3 linked regions of the Callithrix jacchus genome follow. The protein of the gene in region 2 purifies or fractionates together with the protein of the main gene of each other region. This does not show direct contact. Links are inferred from orthologs where the notes say so. Each region holds a gene or a part of one and is shown on either strand. Other genes may lie near its edges. The genes, in order: MED9, MED1 and POLR2J.

Region 1 (5,511 bases), about 50 Mb from region 2:
ACTCCATCCGCGGCGAGGTTTACCAGCTCGATATCCTCGACACGTCCGGCAACCACCCGTTCCCCGCCATGCGACGCCTCTCCATCCTCACAGGTGAGCCGGGGGCCGGGCAGGCGCCGGAGGGAAGGGCGGGGAACCCTCTGCCAGGACAGCCCGCGAGCGCCAGTCGCGCGCCTCGCGCTTGGAGAGGCAAGCGCGCCCCGCGCGACCCCGAAGTCAGCCCAACTTGTCCCCTGGACAGCCACCCTCACCTTCTCCTTTTCTGCTCTCTGTGCCCCCTCTAGGAGACGTTTTCATCCTGGTGTTCAGCCTGGACAACCGCGACTCCTTCGAGGAGGTTCAGCGGCTCAGACAGCAGATCCTCGACACCAAGGCTTGCCTCAAGAACAAAACCAAGGAGAACGTGGACGTGCCCCTGGTCATCTGTGGCAACAAGGGTGACCGGGACTTCTACCGCGAGGTGGAGCAGCGCGAGATCGAGCAGCTGGTGGGCGACGACCCCCAGCGCTGCGCCTACTTCGAGATCTCAGCCAAGAAGAACAGCAGCCTGGACCAGATGTTCCGTGCACTCTTCGCCATGGCCAAGCTGCCAAGCGAGATGAGTCCGGACCTGCACCGCAAGGTCTCCGTGCAGTACTGCGACGTGCTGCACAAGAAGGCGCTGCGGAACAAGAGGCTGCTGCGGGCCGGCGGCGGCGACCCGGGCGACGCCTTCGGCATCGTGGCACCCTTCGCGCGCCGGCCAAGCGTGCACAGCGACCTCATGTACATCCGAGAAAAGGCCAGCGCCGGCAGCCAGGCGAAGGACAAGGAGCGCTGCGTCATCAGCTAGGAGCCCCACCGCGCCGGCAGCCACACGACATAAGGAGGACCTTTTTGTTTAAGTCAAATCCAACGGCCCGGCACGCCCCGTGCGCCCCGGGGCCGCGAGCGCGCGGACTGGACTAGCGTCTTCCCTCCCCGCGATCCGCCCCCAGCGCTGGGGAGGCGCCACTGAACCAAGAAGGGACAGTCATCTGCTCTGGAAGGAAAGAGAACTGGCCAAGACTGAGACTACTCCCACCCTCACCCCATCCCATCCCCACAACTTGGCGGGGTGGGGGGCAAGGGCCCTGCCGAGAGTGGCATTGTCTTCTCAAAGACCTAAGAGTGAGTGCGGGGTGGGGGTGATGTGAAGTTATCCAGCCTGTTAGGCTTCAAGAAACCGTCCTGCCCGGCTTGAGGGTCAGGACCCACGGGGCATTATCTTGTCTGTGATTCCGGGTTGCCATGACAGCCGGCAGAACCTGTGCCCTCCCAAAACTAAGGGGGGCTGGGTCAAATCATAGCCAAGTGACTTGTTTACATGTGAGTGAAACTGCACAAAGGAACACAAAACCAAACTTGCACTTTAACAGTAGTTCCGGTGTCAACACGGACACCAACAAAACCTCACCCTGGTATTTGTACTGCGTGTGTGCGAGTGAGGTCTTTATTACTGTTGGTTTTTAAATATACAATAAAATAATTTAAAATGGAAAACCGGTTTTTCTTTGCTTTTAGAGATGGCTGGAGGCGGGAAGGGTAGGGAGAGGGAAGGGGCTGGGCTTTGACTTGTGTGGAACTAGAACTTAACCTTCCTCGGAACTGGAAAATACCCTGCCCTTCTGAAAGCAGCTTTGGCGGCCAGAAAGGCCCTAGGTGCCTGGGGCATCTATGCAGGGGATGGTTCCCTACAAAACCAGGACGAAGGTAAAGGATTTCAGGGTCCCTCCTGGAGATGAACTCTTTCTAGCCACCTACCCGCTTAATTTTCTTTGTGTTTGATGACAAAAGGCCTCATTTTCTAAGAAAACGTTCTGAATTCTCCTTAGCCCAAGGGCCACTGGAACTGTGCCTAGCCATTTTGTCACCAGACTCAGTGTGGGCCCAGGCGAACTCTCAGACTGGGAGGTATCACTCAGGCCCTGAGGAAAGACCCTGAGACCCATCTGGAAGCAGGTCCATCCAGGTGCCCACTCCCACCCCCTCCCTCCAGGGTGCCACCCTGGCAGGAAACAGCTAACCCTTGGGCGTCTGCTCCCTTCTAGCTCCAGGCAGTGCTCAAGCCCAGGAGTGGAGCCCCATGCACCCCTCAGCCTTGCTATCTCCCTCTCATGCCTAAGGCACCCAGGAACACCTCTGTCACTAGTACTGCAAACCTGGGGCAGAGCACCCTCTGCATGGGCTTGCTGTGAGGATTAAGTGTGGTATCTGAAAAGTACTTAGCACAAATGCATGCCACCCAGTAATCCAAATAATTAGTGGCTTTGAGAGGGTGCTCAGCCCTGTGAGGAACACTCAACAATTGTCCTAGAAGGATTTCAACCCTGCTCAGGGAGGGCAGTTCTGGCAGGACTAAACCTCCAGTCACCAAAAGGCACTGGACCCCCACTCCCACCCTGCCACTCCATCAAAGGCAACCACGGATGCCCAGGGGCCCGTGCCAGGCAGGGGCAGGGATGACCTGCCAGGCAAACTCCCCTTGAGGCCAGCCGGGAGAGGAGTTCCTGTTCCACACTGGTTCAGCAGGTGAGTGGAGGGAGTTGAGGAACAGAGGGTTGGTTCTGTGTCTGAACAGAGTAAGAGAAACATTTTCCTCTAAATGATCTGAGAGCATCCCACTATGAATTTCTCAGTACAGAAAGCATGATGTCCAGAAACAGCAGAGTACAAGTCCTTTTAATTATGCGTTTGAATGTCACAAGTCAAAACAGGAACACAAGGTAGGCTCCAGCTCCCTCCACCCGCGTGAGGAGCCCTTGTTCATTTCAGCCTTGCATTCAGACCCCAAGGGTCTTAGATTTCCATGTGCTTCATGTTTCATGGTATCTGTCAGAGCCTTAAAAGTGGCCGACCCGCAACTGTGAAATTTCAAGGAAATAACTGATTCAGTTAAATAACAGTTCCAAGGTAGAACTGGTCTAACAGGTGACCACCCACTTGAATTCCGAGCCTACTTTTTTGTGCAAAGCCACTGAAATCTGGTCTCCTCCTTCACACATCCCCAGGTCCCCAATATACCACCCACATTCTGATAGGTAGCTGCAGTTGGACACTAATGGCAGCTCTGCTAAAAACATCTTCACCCAGTCCTCCTACCAATGAGGTCAGTTGGCGGGCATCTGCTAAGTCCCCGAAGTGGTCAGCGCAGGTTGTGTGCTCATTCCTAGACCCAAACAACACTCCAGGACTTGGCACCCCCTCTTGGAGAAGCAAGGGTGAGAACTACTCCTACCTCAATTTGACAGTCAAGGGAGAGCAAACAAAGAAAATGTCCCATCCGGAAGAAATCAGGGATGCTGGGGAAATGAGGGCTGCTATAAACCTTTAAGAGCTCAAACTTGGCTGTGTCACTGTCAGGCCTAGCTCATGGCTGAGGACCACCCGAACTGCCCCTCTCTGAACACAAGGTGCATCATGAACCCCTCTGCAGCATAGTACACATCGCTGCCACAAGTGAGAACAGAAGGGAAAGACCTTTTCACCACGGCAATGGGAATCTGAAATGACAGAAGACAGGTCTGTCCGCCTGAAGACCTCTTCCAGCCTGAGTGGAAAGGACGGCCCCTTGCCAGCCCTGGGCACTGACTGAAGGTGCCGAGCAAGGAAGAGAGCAAGCGCTGAAGGAGAGGAGAGTGCTAGGAAGCAGGGAAGCTGCAGCCAGGGGCTGCCTGGCAGGGGTGTGGGCCGACACCCCCACAGCTATAGTTCCTTCACCGCTCAAACAGAAAAGGAACCAAACTGGGAAAAAAGCCACCCTGTGGCCTTTCAAAACATTCTCTCACAGCTCTATGCCATATGAGCGCAGGCTTAATTTGTCCAGTGGATTCTATGCAAGTGTTTCAAGAAGCTGCTGCTAACAGGAACAATATGTACCTGGTACACACTGATCCTATGGGGGTGGGAGGAGGGGGAGGGAAGGAAGCAGAGAGGAACCGCCTCCCTTCTTACTGTGTTCTTCAGATCTGTCAGTGGGGCTGGATGCGAAGCAGATGGCCCCCTCCCCAGAGGCAAGGGAGAGTCCTCCACCCCCTCCGCAGCCTCCAGGAGCATTCTGACTTCCACCAGCAGGCACTCCAGTTATTATGCATCTAGACATATGGATCTACACAAGGAAGCCCCAGCACAGCCAAGCTCTCGGCGCTGGCTCCCGCACAGGAACCCCGCCCCTGCAGCTTGAAGTTCTGAGCTGGGTTCCACAGGAACTGTGCCCCAACAAGCGTTCGGCCGGGGGGGTAGTGGCTGTGGGGTGACAGGCCATTTGCTTCCCTCTTTCTCAGGTGCTCCTGGAAGTCGGCCTCGCTCTACTCCTTGGGGATTTCGAACATGCAGAGGCTCTTGTACTTTTGCAGAAGCTCGTTCTTGGTCCTGACTTGATCCCGGAGGCTGTGCAGCTGCTGCTGCTGCTGTTCAGGGCTCAGGTGGATGCCGGGCATGGTGCTGATGAGCTTGCGCATCTCCTGGAACTTGGTTTTGAGGGTGTTCAGGTCCTGGTGGACCTCGGGGCTGTCCTTGTCCATGCTGCGGGGGCAGAGTAAGAGCCATGAGCATTCGCAGCTTGATACTCATCGTGGCTTTCCTGCCCTGCACCCCCCAGAGCTGGCTGTCATTCCTGCAACAGCTTTTAGAACACTTTGTCAACTGTTACTCTGTGAGGTCAAGGACCATGTCTGCCTGGTCACAGATGTCTCCCTACCCCTGGCCCAGTGTACAGGGCACTGCAGGCACTCAAGAAATATCCATGGAAAGAATGAATGCTTGGCAAATAAGCTCACAGAACATGTATTCAATGAACAAACCAATACCAACAGCAGGTGACAAATGCCAAACACAACTTACTGAAATACGACATTTCGTCTAATTGGAGACATTTCCAGACCAGTCAGGAGGCTCTACCAGCTAGCAAGAGCTAACTTTAGTGGAGGTTTTGATACTGGCTTGAACTGGTTAACATAAAGACTAATATCCACAGAGCTGTTCATAAATTTTAAAGTTTAGTTAATTTAAATGTTTCAGCAGACATAGGCTCTCTTCTACTATGGTCATGTACACTCCTTACCCTTTGAGTCAAGTTCACTTTCAAAGCAGATCATTCGCTCCATCTCACAGCTACTATTAGCTGCACAGAGCTCCCACTCAGTGAAAAACGAGGCAAGAATAACCTCACCTGAGATGAAAGAAACAGCCTGAAAGTTGCTCCTATACTTTTTTTTTGTTTGTTTTTTTGAGACGGAGTTTCGCTCTTGTTACCCAGGCTGGAGTGCAATGGCACGATCTTGGCTCACTGCAACCTCCGCCTCCTGGGTTCAGGCAATTCTCCTGCCTCAGCCTCCTGAGTAGATGGAATTACAGGCGTGTGCCACCATGCCCAGCTAATTTTTTGTATTTTTAGTAGAGACGGGGTTCCACCATGTTGACCAGGATGGTCTCGATCTCTTGACCTTGTGATCCACCCACCTTGGCCTCCCAAAGTGTTGGGATTACAGGCGT
Region 2 (6,116 bases):
GGAATGTATTGCTTTTTCATTTTCTGCCCAGCCCTTCATATACATGCACTAAAATGAGTTTAAAACATGGCCTAAAAATGGAAAAAGGGAGAAGAAAATATATGTGAGTATTTCCCACAAAACTGTTTCCCACCCTTCCCTCTCCCTACATCCCTCCCACCCCGCCCTTCCCTTTCTTAAGCAAGTATTTTAACTTTTTCTTTCTGGCACAGGAACAAAGACTTCTTGGTAACCCTGTGGTCTCTTTAACAGGGTCTGGATATGCCTTTCTAATTCACCCAGCTCAGGGTCAAAGCCATGCCATTTAGTATTAACCAAATCAGACCTGTCGGACTCACCCCTTACAGTGGTTTGCCTATAAACTTATCAATATTTTTTTTCTCTGCCTCTGTTTCTTTTAGGAAATAAGGTTCCTAATTGCCAATCAGGGCCACATCCATAAGATCATCATCTTCTTCCCCAATCATAAAGTCTGGGCTGAGCCTTGAGGGCCTGTCTGCAGATAAGATTGTATTACTTGTCATAGACAAGGATTGGTCTGAAGAGATGGGTGATTTGGACCAACTCTCTGGCTTGATGCTGTGAGATTTTTTCTTGTCTCGGTCTTTGTCCCGGTCTCGGTCCCTATCTTTGTCTTTTACTTTCTTCTTTTCCTTTTTGTGCTTCTTATGTTTCTCTGTGCTGTATTCTGGAAGTGGTCGGATGCCATCATCTGAGCTGGGACTATTCTGATAAGATTTCTCTGCTATGGAGGAGCCTGACTCACTTTCACTGTCCAGATTCTGGGGGGTATATGCTGGTGACTTACTATGGCTGGGAGAGCCACGCTCATGCTTTGGAGTGGAACCACTGATGAGTGGAGAGCCATAGTTTTTAGATGCCATCTGAGGTCTAAGCCCTTCTCCACTACTTTCCCCAGGTTTCTGCAAAGTCACTTTGGCTTTAATGCTGGGGGAGCCTCCATCATGCTTACTGATGATAATTTTTGCCACACCTGTGCTCCCCACATTTTTTGACTCTGAGGTCTTCTTAGAAGAATCCACTGAACTCCCAGAGGTGGAAACCTTTGATTTGTCTTTATCACTTTTCTCCCGCTTGCCCTGAAACTCTCCTCCTGACATGTTATGTTTGGAGGACATAGGATGGCTGGAAGAATTTGTGCTCACCCCCATCTGGCCGTCCATTGGGTCTTCACTCCCAGGGCCACTGGTGACAACCCCGTGCTTCAGTTTATCTATGACGGCTGTCAAGGACGGCTTCTTATTTCTGCTGGGAGATTTTCCTTTGGAACTCCCATGCTGGTTCTGAGAGGATGACATGGAAGAGCCACTTGAGGAAAAGGAGGAGGAAGATGCCGTACAAGAATTAGATGATGGGGGAGTTTTCTGGGACAATGAGCCTGAGGATCCTAACCCTGAAGATGACTTCATGCCAGAGCTTGAACTAGTTCCTGACATATGAGAACCACCAGAACCTGAACTGATAGGGGACTTGGCTTTAGAGGATGGGGGAGTTCCAGGAACAGGCTTCATTGGGGAGGCAAGTTTATCAGAGCCTCCAGGTGGCCTTGAATGAGAAGGGGATATGTTTGGTTTACTTAAAGGATTCATAAGTGATGATGGCTTTCCTTGAGGTTTCATCTTGGTGCTACTAGAGCTGCTGCTCAGTCCATGCTTGGTAATAGGAGAGGAGCCTGGCTTCCCTCCAGACTGCGAGGAATTTTTGGACTGGCCAGATCCAGAAGATCCCTGGCTAGAGTATATACTACTACTTAACTTGGAACTTGATGAGCCTTCTGATTTACTGCTTTTCATCTTCCCTGAGGTGGAAGCAGAAGATGAGGAAGAAGAGGAAGAATGGCTATGGTGGCTTTTGCTGCCTGAGGAAGACACAGAACCACTGCTGGTATACTGACTATGAGAGGAAGGCTTACCCACCATCACTGTTCCCTTAGGAATCTGAATAGTGATTTTGGGAATGGGTGGTGTGGCAACACCTGGGGGAGTCTGAGATCTTCCTGAACTGCCTGGAGATTTAGATCCACCTGTACTGGTAGGAGGGGTAAAAGGTCGGTTAGAAGAACTATGAGATGGCGACTTTCCCTCAGTGTCTGCCTTCTTCCGCTTTGGAGGCTTATCTTTGTTTTTCCCATCATTAGAAGGGGTCCGACTGCGCTTCCCTGGTTTGCTGTCTAATCCTGGCCCCGAAAGAGTACTATTACTGGTGCCATTGCCTTCCTTTACCCTCTTTTGAGTCTTTTCTTTCCCTAAGTCCCCAGTGGCCAGTAAAGGACCTTGACTACCACTGTGATGCTCCATAAGATCTGCAGGACCTAAAGCTTTGCCAGCTACTGATATAATACTGAAATCAACTGTGTCAGCTTGGTTATTGCCCTTAAACTTGGTCTCCCCATTATCACCTCCAAGCATTGGCACCCCCAAAGTATTTAGTGCCTGAGATGCAAATCCTTTGAAATCATCATTATCCCCACTTTGGCTGCTTTCATCAAAATATTCTTCTCCAAAACCACTTTGGCTCTGGCTGTTCAATAAATCAGGATTGAAATCTACTCCATCATGAAAAAAATGATTTGTAGGAGAGTCACTATTGGGACTTCCAGCAGCATCTGCAATAAGGTCAGCTGGATCAGTGTATGGATTTTCATTATTGTTAGTTTGAAAGACATCAGAGTCAAAGAGGGTACTCTGAGAATGCCCAGAGCTTGAAGAATCTCGAAGAGGGGTGCCAATGGCTGGGCAATCATCACTAGTGCTGGGAAGCTTAGAAGCTTCTTCTGCAATGTCTGAAAGGATGTCAGTTACATCTGGGCCAATGCTGTCTGAACTGGATAGTCGGACCATCCTTTGAATACTGGGTTGGGGGTGAGGTACTGGTTGTGGGTAAGTTGTTGGGGGAGTGCTACACTGGCTTGGAGCTGGAGTGATATGTGGCGTATCCAGTGTGTCAGCTGTCATGTTGACATCGAAGATAGGGTTCTGTGAGTCAACATCCATTGAAAATAACTCCCTCTGAAAGTCATCTTCAGTCTGGTGCTTTGGTTTGTCAGGTGGTAATCGTGATGACTTCTTTTTCTTGGTCTTGTTGCTACCCGAGCATATATCCATCCGGGGTGAGCCAGAAGAGGAGTTCTGCCTCTCTAAAGGGCTGCTTCCATAAAGGGTTGAGAAATCCTGGGCAGGATTATCTTTAAGAAGGTTCATGAGCATCGGGTGGTTCTTGGTGTTGCCGGCCATCGAAGAGACAGGTGGCGGCGTGTGATGAGGAGGGGTCGGACTCGAGCCAATGGTAGACCCCCCGTTCCCTGTGATTTGCAACAAACTGGTAAGAATTGGGTTCTGAGACACCTTGCTGAAGTCCTCCCCATGGCCCACCGACTCATGCCGATCTTTGATGCTCATGCTCATATTAAACAAGGTGGTAATGGGACCCCCCGGAAAGGTGTTGGTTGGTGTAGTGGTACCACTCATTGGGTTGTTGCCTGTGGTCATGCCATACCCTGGGCTGCTAGCCGGGGGCAGGTTCTTTTTCACCATGTCTTCAACTGTCTCTGCAATGAGGGACAGTGCTGGGGTGTCGGCCTGAATGGTTTCAGCTTTCCTCCGAATAGCCCTCATCGTCACAGGGATGGACATACATCTGCAAGATAAGATAGAGGAAAACAAAGTTAATATTGCAATAGCTGCTGAATGAGACCTGAGATTTAGATACAACATAAGAGTTTTGCAGTAAGCAGTTTTCAGGTAGGGCAAATAATAGTTCTATCAAATACCAGAGCTTTGGGTAAATTCATTTGAAAAATCTAAGCCAAAATGAAATTGTCAACCTCTTAATAAGAGTCACACAACAAAAGCAAACTATAATCAAGAGTCCAAATAATTGGACTTCAAACTGAACTAAAAGAAAATTGGTAATAATGGAACTCAGTAAGAAAATATCTCCTTAGGGTGGGCGCAGTGGCTCAGGCCTGTAATCCCAGCACTTTGGGAGGCTGAGGGGGTGCATCACTTGGGGTCAGGAGTTTGAGACGAGCCTGGCCAACATGGTGAAACTCTGTCTTTACTAAAAATACAAAAATTAGCCAGGTGTAGTGGTACACACCTGTAATCCCAACTACTCAGGAAGAGGAGACAGGAGAATCACTTGAACCCAGGAGGCAGAGGTTGTAGTGAGCCAAGATCATGCCACTGCACTTCAGCCTAGGTGACAGAGGGAGACTTTGTCTCAAAGTAAAAAAAAAAGGAGGCCAGGTGCAGTGGCTCACACCAGTAATCCCAGCACTTTGGGAGGCTGAGGAGGGCAGACCACAAAGTCAGGTGTTCAAGACTAGCCTGCCCAACATAGAGAAACCCGTCTCTACTAGAAACAAAAAATTAGCAGGGCATGGTGGTGGGTGCCTGTAATCCCAGCTACTCAGGAGGCTGAGGCAGGAGAATTGCTTGAACCTGGGAGGCAGAGGTTGCAGTGAGCCGAGATCATCCAACTGCACTCCAGTCTGGGCAACAGTGCGAGACTCTGTCTCAAAAAAAAAAAAAAAAAAAAAAAAAAAGCCTTCTTCTGGGAGATTCATATGATAATTATAGGGATATATAACTTATTTTAATTAAGGAATCATTAGAAAAATCTCTTGACCCATCAAGTTCTAAACCTTAATGGCCTAGATCATCCCAAAGCTACGCTGTTATAAAAAGTGCTATTTCAGGAATGAAATCTTGTTTATTATAAAGCAAAGCACTTTTTATTTTCCAGATAAATTTATATTCATAAACCTCAGTTTGCAAATGTTTTGCTCTGGGACATATGTCAGCATATTTTTCTTTTTTCTTTTTTGAGATGGAGTTTTGCTCTTGTTGTCCAGGCTGGAGTGCAATGGCTCAATCTCAGCTCACTGCAACCTCCATTTCCTGGGTTCAAGGGATTCTCCTACTTCAGCCTCCCAAATACCTGGGATTACAGGCATGCACCACCACGCCTGACTAATTTCGTGTTTTTAGCAGAGATCGGTTTCTCCATGTTGGTCAGGCTGGTCTCGAAATCCTGACCTCAGGTGATCCACCCACCTCTGCCTCCCAAAGTGCTGGGATTACAGGTGTGAGCTACTGTACCCCGCCAGCATACTTTTCTTATAAGGCCACATAGTTATCTGTTAGGCTTTGTAGGTCATATGTTTCCTGTCCACTTACTCTGCAATATTAGCTAGAAAGCTGCCACAGATATTTAAATGAACAGCAGTGTACCAATAAAATTTATTTACAAAAATAGCCTGCCACACCTGGCTGTAGAAAAATCCCAAAAAATTACATATTAATGTTTCTGGGATGCAGACTGGCTTAAGTATCTCCCATGTAACATTTAAGTTGGTGTTTTTGTTTGTTTGTTTTGAGATGGGATCTCACTCCATCGACTAGGCTGGAGTGGAGTGGCGCAATCTCAGCTCACTGCAACCTATACCTCCCAAGTTCAAGCGATTCTTCTGCCTCAGCCTCCCCAGTAGTTCAGATTATAGGCACCTGCCACCACACCTGGCTAATTTTTGAATTTTTATTTATATATATAGTTTTTGTTTTGTTTCTTTGTTTGCTTCTCAGACGGAGTCTCACTCCATCGCTCAGGCTGGAATGCAGTGGCGCAATCTCGGCTCACTGCAACCTCTGCCTCCCAGGTTCAAGTGATTCTCCTGCCTCAGCCTCCCAGGTAGCTGGAATGACAGATGCACACCACCATGCCCAGTTAATTTTTGTATTTTTATAGAGATGAGCTCTCCCTGTGTTGGCCAGGCTGGTCTCAAACTTCTCATCTAAAGTAATCAGCCCACCTCGGCCTCCCAAAGTGCTGGATTACAGGAGTGAGCACCACGCACAGCCTAACATTTAAGTTGTAAAATCTGGCCCGGTGGACCCAGTGGCTTACACCTGCAGCCTCAGCTACTCAGGAGGCTTATGTGGCAGGATCACCTGAACCTGGGAAGTCGAGGCTGCAGTGAGCCATCATCATGTAACTGCAGTCCAGCCTGGGCAATAAACCCTGCCTCAAAATTTAAAACAATAATAAAAAAAAGTAAAAATGTTATATCTGTTAAGAATTGGCACACAGGATAG
Region 3 (7,228 bases), on a different chromosome or scaffold from region 2:
TCCCCTCTAGACTCCCAGGTGCCCTGCTGTTAACAGGCATGGCCCTACCCTGGGGTGAGCTGCCTCCCAGAAAGAGGCCTGGAAGGACCAGACCTTGCCAACCACAGACAAGGGACTCAGAAGAACAGCCCTACATGAGAGCAGGTCCCTGGCTCTGATCCAGCCCACAGCAGGAGAGGAACCCTGCAGCACTACAGAGGTCAGACAGGAGCCACAGGCCTGGAGCCTGCAAAGAAGTCCCTGCTCTTCCATCAGCACCGCTTCTCCAAAGAAACAGCCCAGGGCTGTCACCAGCTTGGCAAAGGGGCCCAGCATCCAGCCCGCCCTGCCCTCACCCGGAAGCGTTCCTCCAGCAGGGACAGCTCGCTGATGAGGTCAGTGATGGCGTTGGTGAAGGCCTCCTGAGGGCTGTAGTCCGGCGTGGTCTGCACTCGGATGATGATCTTGTGCTCCAAGGGGTGGGGGACTTTGTAGCCGGCAAATAGCACCTGTGGGTCCTTTAGCAATTGTCTGAAATCCAAGGAAGACAGTGTGAGAATCTAGCCTTGTGCCCTCTAGGCTCAGGCCAGGCAGAAGCCGGCTCAGAGTGAAAGGACAGGCTTTCTAGCCAAATATTCCCCCCGGTTTTTTTTTCCCCCCCAAGAGTCTTCAAGGAAAGCAATGCTTTCAGGAGGATAGATCATATGGGGACACCCCACCCCCAACTCGGACACACCCTGCATGCATGAAGTTGAAGGGGAGAAGACACACACACCCCCTCCCTGCACCCCTAAGGTTGAAGGACCTGAGCAGGAAACAGCCTCCAGCAACCTCTTCCCACAAAGAACCACAGGGCTGGCAAAGAGATCTCCCAGGCAGTGGATGTCCAGCCAGTGTTCAATGAATCGGACCCAAAAAGAACATCCCACAGCAAATAAAGGCAGCAAGGAGAGGAGGGCCCAGGCTCTGGGCAGCATTGTGTGCTGTGCCCTGGGCACGCAGGGTCTCCTGTGAGCACCACAAAGGACACCCGTGCACAGCTGGCAACACTGGGCTGGAGGAGAGCATAGGGGCTGCACTGGCTGGACTCCGGGGAGGAGTCCTCCATCCCTGTGCCTGGGCACACCTCTCACAGCCTGGGAAAAGCCTGGCTTCACTGATGGCACCAGAGGGAAGAGCCAAGTCTACAAGTGAAATGACAGTCACATTCCTAATCAACCACCTAGCTAGGACTTCAGTGGTGTAAAGGAACACCCATGAACCAAGGCCAGGCACCTGTCTGGCACTGGACAACCACAGAACTCCCCTACCTCTTTCCCTTGTTAAACACAAGTTCTCATCTCTGCCACATACATCTTAAGCGTGCCAGGTGGCACTGAGGTCACAAATAGGGGTGGCATTGGGGGAGCTAATCTTGACTGCTGCTCAGTGCCCCTCAGCCCATGAACACACAGGCCTACTCTGCTGGAACCTGCTCTCACTCACTCACAGAACGTGCACTTAACAGTGAATGGAAGGCTGGGTGCGTGGCTCATGCCTGTAATCCCAGTACTTTGAGAAGCCAAGGCAGGTGAATCACCTGAGGTCAGGAGTTCAAGACCAGTCTAGCCAACATAGTGAAACCCCGCCTCTACTGAGAACACAAAAATTAGCAGGTCATGGTGGCCAGTCCCAGCAGGAGAATCGCTTGAATCTGGGAGGCAGAAGTTGCAGTGAGCCAAAATTGCGCCACTGCACTCTAGCCTGGGCAACGAGCAAAAACTCCCAAAAAAAAAAAAAAGTAAATGCACGTTTGTCTACAGAATAAGCCACTACAGAAGCGTAGCTTATGTGAAGACATGAAGGTCAGCGTCATTTTGATAAAGTACCAACATTACCAAATGCCCAGAGCAAGCCCCCAGAAGGACTTCCTGTAGCTGAGAGATGGAGGAAAATCTTAAAACTTCTGTTTTGCCCAGAGGCGCCTATTAAACATAGCCCCTGAGAGCCTTTGACGGGAAACTTACGATTTAATGATGTTTCCCAGTGTGTGGTCTTCTTTGTTGATGGTGAACAAACAGGCATTGGGTACCTTGGTGTCCTTGTTAATGGTGATCCTAGGAAGACACAGAGGCCACAGATGAGGGACAGGGGCTCCCCTCCGCCCACCCCAAGTCTAAACCCTGCCTCCTTCGGACCAGGTGCAGTGGTTCATGTCTGTAATCCCCACCCTTTGGGAGGCTGAGGTAGATGGATGACCTGAAGTCAGGAGTTCCAGACCAGCCTGGCCAACATGGTGAAACTTTGTCTACTAAAAATAAAACCCAAACTGGGTGTGGTGGTCCATGCTTGTGTTCTCAGCTACTTGGGAGGCTGAGGCAGGAGAATCACTTGAACCTGGGAGGAGGTTGAAGTGAGCCAAGATTGCGCCACTGCACTCCAGCCTAGGCAACAGAGCAAGACTGTCTCAAAAAAATAAAAATGAAAAGCTCTGCCTCCTCCTGAAGACCTTTCTCAATCTCTTCCTCCCATAAAGACCTCTCCAGCCTGATTCCCTACCCCAGGTCTGTGGAACCTTGGCCCTTCTCGGAGTTCCTCCTCTTGTCTTTCCTCTCCCTCTCTTTTAGAAGAGATGAGGTTTTGCTTTGTCGTCCTGGTTGGTCTTGAACTTGCCTCAAGTGATCCCTCCTGCTGCCCAGGCTGGAGTGCAGTGGTGTGATCACAGCTCACTGTAGCCTCCAGCCTTAGCCTCCTGAGTAGCTGGGACCACAGGCGCATGCCACCATGCCTAGCCTGCTCCTTTTTTTCTTTTGAGATGGAGTCTTGCTCTGTTGCCCAGGCTGGAGTGTAGTGGCACAATCTCGACTCACTTCAACCTCTGCCTCCCCAGTTCAAGTAATTCTGCCTCAGCCTCCTGAGCAGCTGGGGTTACAGGCGTGTGCCACCATGCTCGGCTTTTTTTTTTTTTTTTTTGCATTTTTAGCAGAGACGGGATTTCACCATGTTGGCCAGGCTGGTCTTGAACGCCTGACCTCGTGATCCAACTGCCTGAGCCTCCCAAAGTGCTGGGATTACAGGCGTGAGCCACTGTGCCTGACTGCCCCTTTTTTCTAAGGTAGTTTCTCCATGTTGACACCACAGACGTTTTAGGCTGCATGATTCTTTCCTGTGGGGTGCTATCTTGCTGGACAGCAGCAGCACCCTGACCTCTATCCAGTAGATTCCAGTCATAACCCCCTTTGACACCATAAATGTCCCCAATTATTGCCAAATGGTCCCCAGCTGAGAGTCTGCTCTAAAATGAGGCCAAGCCCGGTGCACTGGCTCACACCTGTAATCCCAGCACTTTGGGAGGCAGAGACGGGCAGATCACCTGAGGTTGGGAGTTTGAGACCAGCCTGACCAACATGGAGAAACCCGGTCTCTACTAAAAACACACAATTAGCCGGATGTGATGGTGCATGCCTGTAATCCCAGCTATTCAGGAGGCTGAGGCAGGAAAATCACTTGAACCTGGGACATGGAGGTGGAGGTTGCCGTGAGATCACACCATTGCACTCCAGCCTGGGTGGACAGAGTGAGACTGTCCAAAAAAAAAAAAAAAGGCCAAACTGGCCGGCAAGGGCCAGACCAAGACCTCTGCACGCCAACCTGGGAACAGTAAGAGCCAGTGGTTATGAGGTCTTCCAGGTGCCGAGCTTTAGACCAAGTGCTTGACACAAATTACCTCATCCAATTCTTTTTGAGACAAGATCTCACTCTGTCGCCCAGGCTGGAGTGCAGTGATGCGATCACAGCTCACTGGAGCCTGCAACTCCTGTGCTCAAGCCAGCCTCCCAAAGTGATGGGATTAAACGCGTGAGCCAGCGCACCTGGCCAAATCCCATGTTTAAGAACAGTAATAGACCGGAGGCCGTCACTCACGCCTGTAATGCCTGCACTCTGGGAGGCCGAGGCAGGAGCATCAGCTGAGATTGGGAGTTCGAGACCACACAGGCTAATATAGAGAAACCGCGTCTCTACCAAAAATAAGAAATTAGCCGGGCGTGGTGGCGCATGCTTGTAATTCCAGCTACTCAGGAAGCTGAGGCAGGAGAATTGCTTGCACCTGGGAGGTGGAGGTTGCAGTGAGCCGAAATCGCGCCATTGCACTCCAGCCTGGGCAACAGGAGCAAAACTCCGTTTCGAAAAAAATGAAAAGTAACAAATCCATTTTCCAGAAAAGGAAACAGGGCCTCCAAAAGATCACGGCACTCGTACAGATACAGTCGCTAAGTGGGGGACCCAGGGGCCAAGCCCAAGCTGTCTCTCCCGGGGACTCCTTCAACCAGCAGGCAGCAAGAAGCCACTGCGGCTTTTACACAGGCCGTTGGCAAATCAAAGGACACGGGGGATGGAGGCGGCGGGCGGAAGACAAGAGAGGAGGCTGCCACGTCCCAGAGGAAGAGGGCTATGGAGAGCCAGACACTCTGGGTTCGAATACAAGCCCCGCCACCTCCTCCGTGTCTGGGGCAACTTGCTCCTCCGAGCCTCAGTGTCCTCATCTGCCAAATGGACACACTCGCCACTGCCTCCCGGAACTGGCTTAAATTTGGCCGACACAGGCCGTGCGGACTATCAGGCAAAAGCTGCTTCCCTCCCGGAGCAAGACATGGGCAGGAAACGCCCCCGGAATGCGACAGTCGCAGCCCCGCAAACCTCGGCTCCTCCCAGCTGGCGTCACTTACTTCTTCTCGCCTTCGAAGAGCAAGAACGACTCGAAGGCTGGAGGGGCGTTCATACTCCTGCCGCCGCCGCCGCCGCCGCCGCCGCCGCCGCCACCACTGCCGCGTCCAGACCCTAAGCGTCCGCTGCCGCCGCCTCCGAAGCCCTAGTAAGAGGCTTCTTCCGGATTACTCTGGCGGGTCAAACTAGCGTAGGGACCAGCTCATCGCCCCCTATTGGGCTGGAGGATCTTGCGCAGGAGCGAGAAAAGCCCGAGCGAGGCCAGTACCTCTGCGCCTGCGTCAGTATGGAAGCCCCACCCCCCCAACTCCCACCCCCTCACCCCCTCGTGGCTTTCAACGTGGGCGCTTTTTGGCGCATGCTCAGAGCGCCGGGAGGGCTGCTCTGCCCCTCCAGAGATCTCCTAATCCTGACTGAGTGGAAACCCCAAGCTGTGCCTCTCTGCTCCCCACGACCCTTGATCTCGCTTTGCAACCGTGCACCCCCTTGGAGTGCACAGCAGGAGGCCCCTGAATAGAGAGAATAGAGCTAAGGGGAATGGGCAGCTGCGGCTGGCAGCCGTGAGGGGAGCTGAGGAAGGTCTCGTGGCCAGAGGCAGATCTGTGCTAAGCCCCCTGCCGAGGCTGCCTACACCGACTGCTGTGAGACCCCTGGCTGGGATGCCACTGGCTTGTTAGAAGGGAGGGACAGTTGGGTGACGGATGGGGAAGGAGGCGGGTGTATACAGCAGTGAGAGGGAGCTCGGAGGGTTATGTAAATCTTTTTATATATTATTATCATTTAGAGACAGTGGCTCACTCTGTCGCCCAGGCTGGAGTGCAGTGGTGCCATCATAGCTCAATGCAGCCTCCAACTCCCGGGCTCCGGAGATCCACTTCAGCCTTTCAAGTAGCTAGGACTTGCAGGCACGTGCCATCACACCTAGCTAGTTTTCTTTTAAGAGTTGGGGTCTTGCTGTGTTGCCCAGGCTGGTCTTGAACTCCTGGCTTCCAGCAATTCTCTCATCTCAGCCTCCCAAAGGGCTAAGATTGAGCCACTGCACTTGGTGGATAAGTCTATCTTACCTTTTGGTTTGGCTGTTTTGCAGACTACAGTTTAGCATAAAGGCCCTCCTTGAGACGGAGTCTTACTCTGTCGCCCAGGCTGGAGTGCAGTGGTGTGATATCAGCTCTGTCGCCCAGGCTGGAGTGCAGTGGTGTGATACCAGCTCTGTCGCCCAGGCTGGAGTGCAGTGGTGTGATATCAGCTCTGTCTTCAGGCTGGAGTGCAGTGGTGTGATATCAGCTCTGTCGCCCAGGCTGGAGTGCAGTGGTGTGATATCAGCTCTGTCGCCCAGGCTGGAGTGCAGTGGTGTGATACCAGCTCTGTCGCCCAGGCTGGAGTGCAGTGGTGTGATACCAGCTCTGTCACCCAGGCTGGAGTGCAGTGGTGTGACACCAGCTCTGTCGCCCAGGCTGCAGTGCAGTGTCGACATCATAGCTCACTACAGCCTCAAGCTCCTGGGCTCAATCCCACCACGGTGGGAGGCTGAGGCAGGCCTCCCACGAGGTCAAGTCCTCCTGCCTCAGCCTCCCCAATAGCTAAGACCACAGGCAGACACCACAGCACCCAGTTATTTATTTATTTTTTTTTTACTTTTTGTAGAGATGGGGGGGGGGGGGTCCAACTTTGTTGCCCAAGCTGGTCTCAAACCCCTGGCCTCAAGTGATCTTCTCACCTTGGCCTCCCAAAGTGCTGGGATTATAGGCATGAGCTCCACCCCAGCCACACACGCCATGCTGATTTGTTACACGTTGGCTGTAGTTGCTTTTGTGCTACGTGGCAGAGTGGTTGTGACTCAGAGCTGCATGCCTGGTCCTTTACAGAAAACGTTTGCTGATCCTAATCTCAGGGATTGTGGCTGTGTTGACTTTCCTGCTTGTTTGATTACAGCCCAGACACTGAAGTTACTTATTAACTTGCAGTTTCTATCCCATAGAAAAGAAAACTTCATTAACTGGTTCGTATCTAACATCACAATCTTTGTCTGGGTTGCTTCTCTTAAAATGCTTACTGGCCAGGCACAGTGGCTCATATCTGCAGTCCTAGCTCTTTGGGAGGCTGAGGAGGGAGGATTGCTTGAGCCCAGGAGTTTGACACTAGCCTGGGCAATAGAGCGAGATCTTGTCTCTACTACAAATTTTAAAAATCAGCTGCGCATAGTAGTATGTGCCTGTAGTTCTGTTTACTTAGAAGGCTGAAGCAATAGGATCTCTTGAGCCCAGGACGTCGAGGCTGCAGTGAGCTATGATTGCACCACTGCACTCCAGTCTGGGTGGCAGAATGAGACCCTGTCTCAAAAAACAAAAAAACAAAAAAAAACTTACAAATACATGAAATACATGTACCCAGATTCTCAGAATCATACATGATTCAGAGTTCCCGAACACTTCTGAACTGATGTGTAATTGATCTTTGATGGGTGTTCATTCTATATATGAATCATTACTATTTTTCTTTGTATGTATTTGAAGTTATACTTTGACAAGGCTTTGTGTGGAGGCGG

The links.
Region 1: the proteins of MED1 (region 2) and MED9 purify together in Homo sapiens (affinity purification with mass spectrometry; 8 studies listed by BioGRID and IntAct, counting the BioPlex papers as one, with this or other methods). This does not show direct contact. The link is inferred for Callithrix jacchus from reciprocal best matches to the Homo sapiens genes MED1 and MED9.
Region 3: the proteins of MED1 (region 2) and POLR2J purify together in Homo sapiens (affinity purification with mass spectrometry; 3 studies listed by BioGRID and IntAct, with this or other methods). This does not show direct contact. The link is inferred for Callithrix jacchus from reciprocal best matches to the Homo sapiens genes MED1 and POLR2J.

The regions. Positions count from the first base shown.
Region 1 is NC_133506.1:69,654,592-69,660,102, forward strand, and holds the end of MED9 (mediator of RNA polymerase II transcription subunit 9), read right to left. Parts: intron 4,543-5,511; coding exon 4,326-4,542; 3' UTR 2,684-4,325; downstream 1-2,683. Other genes in the region: RASD1 (dexamethasone-induced Ras-related protein 1), read left to right, coding at 1-93, 285-832.
Region 2 is NC_133506.1:119,864,330-119,870,445, forward strand, and holds part of MED1 (mediator of RNA polymerase II transcription subunit 1), read right to left. Parts: intron 3,658-6,116; coding exon 414-3,657; 3' UTR 1-413. UniProt on the Homo sapiens protein: Component of the Mediator complex, a coactivator involved in the regulated transcription of nearly all RNA polymerase II-dependent genes.
Region 3 is NC_133503.1:11,371,239-11,378,466, reverse strand, and holds the start of POLR2J (DNA-directed RNA polymerase II subunit RPB11-a), read right to left. Parts: upstream 4,811-7,228; 5' UTR 4,739-4,810; coding exon 4,686-4,738; intron 2,076-4,685; coding exon 1,986-2,075; intron 511-1,985; coding exon 336-510; intron 1-335. UniProt on the Homo sapiens protein: Core component of RNA polymerase II (Pol II), a DNA-dependent RNA polymerase which synthesizes mRNA precursors and many functional non-coding RNAs using the four ribonucleoside triphosphates as substrates.